Linked DNA regions of Drosophila melanogaster. The protein of the gene in region 1 interacts with the protein of each later gene in a pairwise test. Each region holds a gene or a part of one and is shown on either strand. Other genes may lie near its edges.

Region 1 (5,825 bases):
GCTTCTCTCCTCTTGCACAAACATAAACAAGATTAATTTCACATGTTTTCCAGGGGTGGCGAGGACTTTTCCAGAGGCGGAGAATAGCTGCTCGAGTTATTACTTTGATTATGTTTATTCTAGTCATGAAATCCAAATGCCCGTTTCATGTGCACTTCATTTAATAAACCCATGCCACCAAGTGAAAGCGCGAAATGATTTCCATGGCATTTTTGTGTGCTCGTGTGCAAGTTTTCCTCACTTCATGTGATTAGCCAAGTGAAAAAACAAGAGATTAGGCAACTATTTCCAACTTCATTTGCCTATGGATAATGCGCTGGTATGGCAAACATCGTACCTCATTACTTATTCATTTTCGAGTTTAATGAGGTGGGTTTGAATTTACTTCTTAGACTTATTAGCACACGTAGAACATACGCACCTATACTTCGATCATCTTTGATTCGCTTGAGATTTGAAGGGTACGAAAGGAAAGACAAAGCTCTTTAATATGGCCACTAATCTAGACACCGTCTGCGATCTTTCCACTATCTGACAAATTTGGCCGTCATCCAATGCGATTTTCGCCATTCTGCCCTCACTCATCCTCATGGACCACGTCTATATCTCAGTCGGTGCGATCTGTATCTGTGGCGACTCTTAAGTGCTTTTAATTATGTCCACTTAAGTCTCAATATCGCCAGCTTCCGAAGCGCGCAAATCACACAGAACCACACACATTGCCATTGCAGTGGAACAGGAAACTTGGCAGTTGGGGAGCCGGAGGAACTGCTCGGCGCACTCTAAATAAAGCATAACAATTTATGAAATTTTAATTTTTACACTTAATAACACGCCGAGTTATGGGCGCGCCAAGTGAAACGGGCCAAGCGAATTCGCCAGGAAAATGGGAAATGGCTCAGGGGGACTGACTTTCATATAGAGACATCAATGTGAGACGAGCGCGGGCAGGTGGCCAAACCTCCGGGAGTGGGACAAACTGCGGTGCAACTTGTGTGGCATCAACCGCAGACGTTGGGCGCAATTAGAGACGCTGTATATTTTTGGTGCCCGACCGACTCGCGGATTATGCCACAAGTCGGATTGTCGTCTCACGTTCGGAAAATTCGCCAATGCCAAACTGGAACATGCGATTTAAATAGCTTATATAAAATTACGCCGCTTTGATGACCATTAAATAACACACGAAACTATACAGATAATAGATAATTATTACAATTTTTTCCAACACAGTGCTGAAATTGAAAAGGCGGAGAACATTATGGACTTTGGATAATCCTCTGAATATATACACTGCAATACAAACTGATTTGTCGCACCCCCACGGGAAAATACAGTTCTTGCGCGAGTTGAAAAGTCGATTTGATTGCTGCTTCAATTCAAAATGTTCCAATCAAGAATTTTCAATTCCAATTAAAGAGGCCACCGAATGGAAAATTCGTGGCGGATTATTGGGTATTATGTTTTGCCGTCCGTTCCTCTTATTCACTGCTATCGTCCTATTCCGTTCCCGGGTGAACGTTTAACAATTTTGAAAGCGCATCTCTGTATTGTCTGATCAGTTCTGGCTGGGATCGCTGGAGGTGCTGGAGTCCAGGTGCAATGCCTTCTCCAAGGACTTATAATCGTTCGAGATCTCGACGGCGTTGTTGAGATCGTTCATCATGGTAGCGATGAGACCCTGGTGCTCCTGTTGCATTTTGTCTTGGATACGCCTGTTTTCCTCCGCCTGGCGAAGAATCAAGGACTTGAAGCGATTCTTTTGAATTTGCTCTTCGTCCTGCACATATCCTGGTCTTTTATAGACCGGCACTGGAGTCCTGATGCTTTTCGGCACATTCAAGTGGCTGGTATCAGGCAGAGGTTTCTGTTTGACTGAGGAAATCTGGCCCCTGCTCACCAGAATTTTTCGCTTGGCAGCCACTTTGGCGTCATAGGTGCGTCGGGCCTGGTAGGCACTCTGGGTTTTGGTGACACTGGCACTGTTGGCCACATGGCTGGTAATCAGTTTCGGGATTCGACTGGGACTCCTGATTGTCGTAAGCTTATTGGGTTGCTGCTGCTCGATACCTTGTACACTTTGTGGCTCACATTTTATAGGCAAAGTAAACTGTGACTTGGGAATCTGCATCAGATCTCTTCGCCACAGTTGGTGATGAAGCTTCGAAAGATCAGGACTGGTAGAGCTCCGATGAAGTGGTTCCAGGACATTCTCCGTTGGCTTGGGTTTCTCCGCCTTCGGTGGATCCAACTTGGTCACCCAAACACTCTCTGCTGTGGCCAACTTCACGGGTGTCAGCGTGACAACAACTCTTTGCGGCGGAGTCAGAGAAGCATCCTCCATTACCAGCTGAGAAGTCATCCCAATTGGCATGCTAGGCGGAGCAGAAATCTGCATGGTCATCTCGGCTGTGTGATCATAGATCATTGTCTCCGATTGCTGTAATCTCTGGCGGAAGCGTCCCATTATGACCGGACAACCAAATCCTTGTTGCGATTTTGTATTGGTAGATGCATCCCTCCGTTCAGGATTTGTAATCTGGTTCCTCTTCTGGACCACCTCCTTGGTTAAGGCGCACAAGCGCAGTCGCATCATTTCCAGTCTCTTCCAGTCAGTCATCTATTAGGGATATATAATACAGTTCATATGCTATCTCAAAAGATAATCACCAACCACTGGCGGCAGAATAGGTTTCTCATTCAGGCAGTATCCCGACTCGAACTCGCCACCTCCAATATTGTTCAGTTCACTAAGCAACGTTAGCTGCTCTGTTTCTCCGGCCATGTTCAGAAAATTTCGTGTAGAAATTTCGTGTGGAAATTTCAGGTATCAAAAATGATCTTTATGTTCAGGAATTTATTTGTTGTGTGATGTGTAGGTTAAAGGAATGGAATGGAATTGGAAAGGCATGTGAGTTAAACCAACAACGGTTGACATTTGTAGAATGAGTGTGTTTGCTAGGAGTACTAGCGTACACACCACTGTCGGTAGACTACACTGGGGAAAATACTCTACACGCACAGGGAATCGATAGGTTTCTGTTGTCATACAAATATCTAGCTTGAAATGAAATTCTTCGATTTAAAATTCTAAATCCGCTGGTGCCGTTTTCTCCGAGTGCATACCACATGCACTGCCCATCCGCACTTTTGCCTCCCAATCCGGACGAAGAGTCTGACAAATGCGCCGCTCGTCGCCGGAGCGTGCCACAAAAGGTACGGGCAGTCGAGCGTGGAGCTGGCAAACAAGGAGCCCAAATAAAGTCCACTCCATTACCGGCAGGACATTCGTCCTCTCACTGTACATACATACGTGTGTGTGGGACCGTCTGGAAATTTGTCTTGGGCGCTTGTAGGTGTGATTTGTTTTTTAAATTTCAGACCGAAGCTGCAGAAGCTGGCCAATTTGTCTCCCCCAGTGGCTGGTTGACTTTTTATTTGCAACGGAGTCACGTAGCATTTTCACTTGCATACTTGCGACATGCGGCAATTTTCCACTAAATTTGCCATGTCAAACATATTTCGGACCGGCCGGAATATATGCAGCTCCGCTCCCCATAAAGAATTCAAATTAATACATTAACAGCTCCAGATAAGCGACCTTTTGGGGAGGAAAGTAAACGCTTGGCTCCCAGCGACAGGTAATAAACGCCGAGTCGTTCCGTTCGTGCCAAAGTCTCGAAAGTTTTGCTCCAAGGCAATTTGCCTCAAGTGGCAATTCGGGAGCGTGCCAAGTGCCTCGGTAACGGTAACAGCCCACGGATTACGAGAACACGGCGTGGGCACAAGTGGGTTAAGGCGGGGCACTCTGCGGCTAACCGCCTGCACCACAAAAGGTATTTATCTCATTGTGCAGATTAAGAGCTGCTCTCAAATTAGGTGAGTGTCGTCACGTGACACAAGATGAGATCTAGATGGCGATGAGGTTGGAAATAAAGGAAAGGTGGGTGGGTGGTTCGATGAAGGGGGTTCGGGGGCTGGGCTGGGAGAGGAATACCAATGTAAAATGACTTTGCTTGCTCTAAATTGGTCGCACAGCTAAAATAACTACTGTTTTGTGCAGCTAATTATCATAACTTGTTAGCCATAACAATTTTTAGTCGGTATGGGAAAATTCATATTTTTCAAATTTTTCGCATTTTTTTTAAGGGGTACCATCATCAAAATTGGGAAAAATGGCAAAATTTTGACTTTTCTAGGCTTGAATGCCATTCGATTGGAAATTTTGTAACGATTTCAGCGAGGTATGCCATTCCATATTGCGTCTACTACTTTTTTTTTTGTTTTTGTAGAAACAATGCTAATTTTTATTCGCTAAATCAGTGTTACTGCCTACAGTGCAAAACTGAAGTTTGTTATGCAAAGCTTAACCCCATTGGAAACCTGTGACCAAATCCCATTCCGCACTTTGTTGAAAGAGAGCCAGACTCCGATCCGGTTACACTTCATAAATTTAAAGAATTATGAGCCGTGACCCAGACGGAAGCGGAATGCAATTCAGCGAAGTGGCCAGGACGCAGTGAGTCCGAAGGAAGGAGGTCAACAGGTAATAACGGTTGCACGATTGGCTGGCCCTGACAATTTCCGCTAGATTTACAACCCTAGTGGAAAGGGGTGATATCGGATTGCAAGCATACTCTTTACGTTATATCCCCATTTTGTGGTCGGTCTACTAACAATCGATGCTAGTTGAGCATTGATTTTCGCTGATTTCGAAGGAAAGTTCAAGAGTCGCTGGCTGAAGTTCAAAGGCTTGGCTTTAATTGAGTTGCCACTGGGTTCATGCATATGCAGGGCGCAATTAAAAGTGCGCCAAGAAAAAGCGAGAAAGACAAACACTGGCGGAGGAAAACTCCTTGGAGGGGAGGAAAATGTCTGCGAGTGACTCAAGTCGAGTCTCCTGTCTGTTGACATTTCGCGGTATGGAAAAAATTAAATTAAAATGCAAATTAGGCATTCCTGCCGAGGAGTCTGGCCTGCAGTCTGCGATCCCCTTTTGCGGTCCTTGCTTTTCCTCCTGGCGTCCTGGCGTCTTTGGCAAAAGTGACAAATTGTTGTAAACACTGCAAGTTACGTATACGCCTCGTGGGACCTCGTGGGATAGTCACCTACGAAAAGCGGGTTCAAAGGGGCGAGTAGAGGGAGCTCCACCTATTGTATACATATTTTAACACAAGCCAAGAAGTGCCGACTTAGGGCCAAGATGAATGTTTTTATTTCTGCGCCTTTCGCCGTTCGTCCTTCTTTTCTGCGGTAAATTATGCAAAGTAGTTGCGTAATGCTCTTGTTACAATAATTTAATCTTGTAATCTGTTTCTGTTCGACTAACGGCAAGTGCCATAAATAATTCAGCTGGCCCGCTGCTGCAGATGCCGGAGGGAAATATCCTTGGAAGGAATCTTTGCATTTTTAATTTCAAGGTAAACAAGCGCAGATAACTTCGCCGCCAGAAACGGAATCCTAATGAGCCTCTCCTCAAGGTGACTTCTTCTACTTTGGATTGACATTTCAGCGAAGGCTGAGCCAGTTAATTCAATTTCCGCAAGCTGAAACAAAAATAAAAGAAGAGTTCACAAAGTTTATCCACGCAACCCCTTTTTTTTTATTCCTGGCGAAGGATATTCAGGAGATGGGGCACTAACGAACCCCATTTGCGGCTGGCTAATTGTGTCATACGCATCCTTTGAAGAGCTTCTAAGAAACGCGCTTTGGGATAAAAAATATTTTTTCATCTGTTACAAAGTGCCATAAAAATTGTTAAAAGGCATTTTTAAATTCACAAATATTCTTAGCTAATTATTCCATGTGCATCCTTTAAGAATCCT
Region 2 (3,820 bases), about 12 Mb from region 1:
AGTGGACATCAATGTCCTCTCCCGTGCTTTGGCCACCACCAAGGCTCGGATCAAGCAGTACGCCCACATTGTGAACGCTCTGCCAAAATCCAATTCGGACATCCTTAGCCTGCGCCTGCCCAGCAAGGTTCCGGCTCTAAAGTCGGGCCGTCGCTTCCAGCGCAAGAAGTAGGAGTATCTTCAAGGACACCGCGCCCGCCATCGATTTAACAAACCCTGGCGCGCCAATTACATTTATTGCATCCAGGTACTTCTGATTTTGTTATTTTGGGCAATGCCAGAAGGAATATTATTATTCTAAACGATAGAAGGTTTTGATAAACTAAAATAAATAAAGAAATAAGAGAAAGACCATTAAAGTTTAATTTTAACAAATGCCTGGGAATTTAAATCGATTTTAGACCAATGGCCAATTGCTGCCATGGAAACGAAAAATATTCCCACGACCCAAAAAATGATGACCCATTGAAAACAGTTTGCAATGATTAACTTATTATGCTACGGTATTATACACTTTTTATTTACGTTTTTAGATTGAAAATCAAGAATAACATTAGGCGAGTACACTGGCAACGGAATAGTTGCTTGCTAATTGCTTGGAAGTGACGACAAGGTTTTCAAGTGCTCCATAATAAATTTTGTTATTACAGCAGGATGGATGGCCGATCAAAAAAGTATGGTATTTGTGTTGTTGGTGTGTGCTGGTGTACGACGGCAATCTTGTTAGTCCCTCCCCCTTTTAAGTCATCTTCATCGCGAATTCCGGCAGTCCTGCCATTCCTCCACTCTAGACGGCCAGTCCGAAGACCGAAACGATGCAGTACATGGTCTTGTTCTCCCAGCGTACTGTGCACGATCCGTCGGTGTCGTTGTTCCAGTAGCAGGAGCTGGCGGTGTGGAGTCCAGCACCGTTCTTTTGCATGATCATGGCGGTCACAATGTACTTGTAGGGCTTCTGCTCCTTGGTGAGCACCGTCAGGCAGTTCTCCACCACCTGGCCGGTCCAGTTGTTCACCTTGTCGTGCTGGTAGGCGTTACCGCCGATGGTCGTCTCGATGGCCTCTTTAATCGTCTTGCTCACGTCGTCCACAATGAACTGGCTTTCTTCGCGTGAGTCATCCATCGTCGCAGCTTTGATTTGCTTCTAACGGCAGCTGGTCAAAAAAGTTTACGTACTGAGCTCAAGTTTGTATTGTTGTCGTTGTAAATGTGCGCGCGTTTTTGGGCTCGTCGGCGGCGTTCGAGCAGTCCAAATAATATATATCGGGATTCTATTTTTCTAAGGGATGCGGAAAGCAAAGTTTGCTTTTAATTTGGAAGTATTTTCTTGGGCACCTTGATCTGGTCAGACTGTGTTGCAATTTAACCGGAGAAACGGTTACATCGTGGGTCATTTCAGCATCTTCACACTAGAGATTTCAAGAGAAGAAACAGTTGTCTTTTATTAAAAACAAAGGTTTCGCTATCAACATTTTCCAAAGCAATTAGTCAAGGAGAGTATAATTAGATTAAGTACTTTCAAAAGGAACCAAACAAGTTAAAACCTATTATAACCATGATGCCAGTGGAAACACATCTAAGCATTTAAATTAATCGATAGAAAACAGTGCTGAAAACCGCGGGAAAATTAAACTTTTAATCGCTGGATTATTTCGACTGCAAGCCACGGTCACTCTGGCAGAATCAACATAACGGACGCGTTCGCGGCGCAATAAAAACGAAAAATAATTAAATTATTCCATAACTCTTCTGCGACACCATTGAAAAACATCGACGCATATCAAGGCCGACAAATATCGCTATTAAATGCACAGCTGAAAGCGATTCGTGCAGCACGTCGTTGAATTGAATTAAATTCGTTATGGGAAAGTGCCTTGGTGTGTGTGTGCGTGCGTATAATTAAGCAAAAGTATTTAGCAAATCGAAGGCGCACATTTCGCAATACACGCTGCGAAATAATCGGGTGATAATTGTCGCAGCTGCAGGCGCACTTCCTTCTCCATCTCCTGCTTTCTTCGTTTTTGTCTCTGCGGATACGTGCTACTACTTTTGCAGCTGCTGTTCAGCTATTTAGCGCGTGTGTGTGAGTGCGCTCCGCGGCTGCTGCTGTTGTTGTTTTTGTTGGCTCACCTCTCGTTAACCACCTTGAATGCGAGTGAACGAGCGAGAGGGGGTGAGAAGAGTGCAAAGTTGATGCCCGCGAGTGTGCGCTTGTCTCTCTGTGTGTGTATGACAACAAATTGAGTGCGACTGTGTGCGTGCGGCATTAGTCACTCTCTTTAACTTTTAACTGTTTTGGTCCACCCTCTGCGAACCAAAAAGGCAAAGACAAAAAAAAACCACTAAACCAACTTTGCGGATCGGTTTTTTTTTTTTGAATCGAAACGAATCGGATCGGAACGAATCGGAAATCACCAAAAGGTTAGTTACCCGCAATTGATATTTAACCACAACATCACCCTGACAACTGCTTGCTTTTGCAAACATACATACATATGTAACATCACTCCACCATTCTCATCAAAGTTTTGCTCAAGCTACTTACTTAATTGAAATTCCAGTCAAGGTCGCATTTGTTAATTAATTAAATGTTTGCCCGGCTGACTGCAAGTATAAGGCAAAAGGGGAAACTTGGCGACTGCACAATAGTTATTGTACAATTCAAAAAGTATTGCATAAACCGATATGCTACGTTTGTTCCGACTGTTTACTCAAGCCTCAAGCGATAAGCGGGGAGTACAGTGACATTTATGGATGGGATGGGAAACCCATTTTCTGTTTTGACTGCATAATCGCCAGCACACGAAAAACACTGTCATTGCATTTAACGAATAACTGGAATTATTAGAGAACAGCTGCCTACATAAATACCGCTTCAAATGGTCACCATTGGTCACTAAATACACTTTTTTTACGAGTCATACATTTGCAGTTTTTCTCTCTGTGTAACTCTGCACGAAGCTTCTTCTTTACCCATTAATAAAATAGAAAACCGAAGGAGTTTCGTTTTCGTTTTGTCACTTTCGGACGCAGCAGGTGGTGCATTTGCGCGCTTACCTCACTTTCCAGCTGACTGACTTTCGGGCGATCCTCACATGGTAGCCATAACCATATAACATATGCTATTCCAGCACCCTTTTTCTCTACGCCAGTGCCCAGTGATAAAAACCCTTCGCAGAGCAATCTTCATATGACAAAAACAGGAAATGTATATCACGCAATGTATATATACATATATATATATATATATTACACAATCTTTTAGAGAAGTGCAATCTTATGAAATGCCAAGCAATAAAGCGGTTTAATATGCTTACTTAAATCGTATACACCGTTTCGTTATGATAACGGCAGATGATATCAAAAAGTATCAGAATATTAAATATTATTATACGCCCAAGGGTATCATTTATACGACTGAATCTGATGCTACACGCAAATGGCACAAAAGATCCTCTTTATAGGCTTTTCAAAGTGCATTGTTTTTTAACTACTGAAATGGGCGGCAAGTGTTTTGCTTTTGCACTCAGTACTCGGATACACATTGGAGTGCACAGAAATGTGGGCGTGTTCGAAAGTACTGATGTAAGCTTTCAGCTCTGATTGTGTTCAACTTTGACCCACATTCGCCAAGTGTCCCGCCATGAAACGCACGAGTGGATTGCAGGGGTAGGAGATGGAGGAGCATTCAGTGATGAATTTCATCTGCTGCTCCCCATATATTTTACATGCAAACGTGCAATTTTCAGACCGCATTGTTTGTCTAGAATTTGTGGGTTTAGCACAAAACTACATTGTATATGCAGTATGTCTATCAATA

What was found. The genes of interacting proteins can lie anywhere in the genome.
Region 2: the proteins of CG2267 (region 1) and Dlc90F interact in a two-hybrid assay, tested with the Drosophila melanogaster proteins (2 studies listed by BioGRID).

The regions. Positions count from the first base shown.
Region 1 is NT_033777.3:30,626,047-30,631,871, forward strand, and holds CG2267 (uncharacterized protein), read right to left. Parts: upstream 2,983-5,825; 5' UTR 2,786-2,982; coding exon 2,675-2,785; intron 2,621-2,674; coding exon 1,559-2,620; 3' UTR 1,195-1,558; downstream 1-1,194.
Region 2 is NT_033777.3:18,296,725-18,300,544, reverse strand, and holds Dlc90F (dynein light chain 90F), read right to left. Parts: upstream 1,317-3,820; 5' UTR 1,124-1,316; coding exon 788-1,123; 3' UTR 501-787; downstream 1-500. Other genes in the region: Polr1E (RNA polymerase I subunit E), read left to right, coding at 1-172. UniProt on the Drosophila melanogaster protein: Acts as one of several non-catalytic accessory components of the cytoplasmic dynein complex that are thought to be involved in linking dynein to cargos and to adapter proteins that regulate dynein function.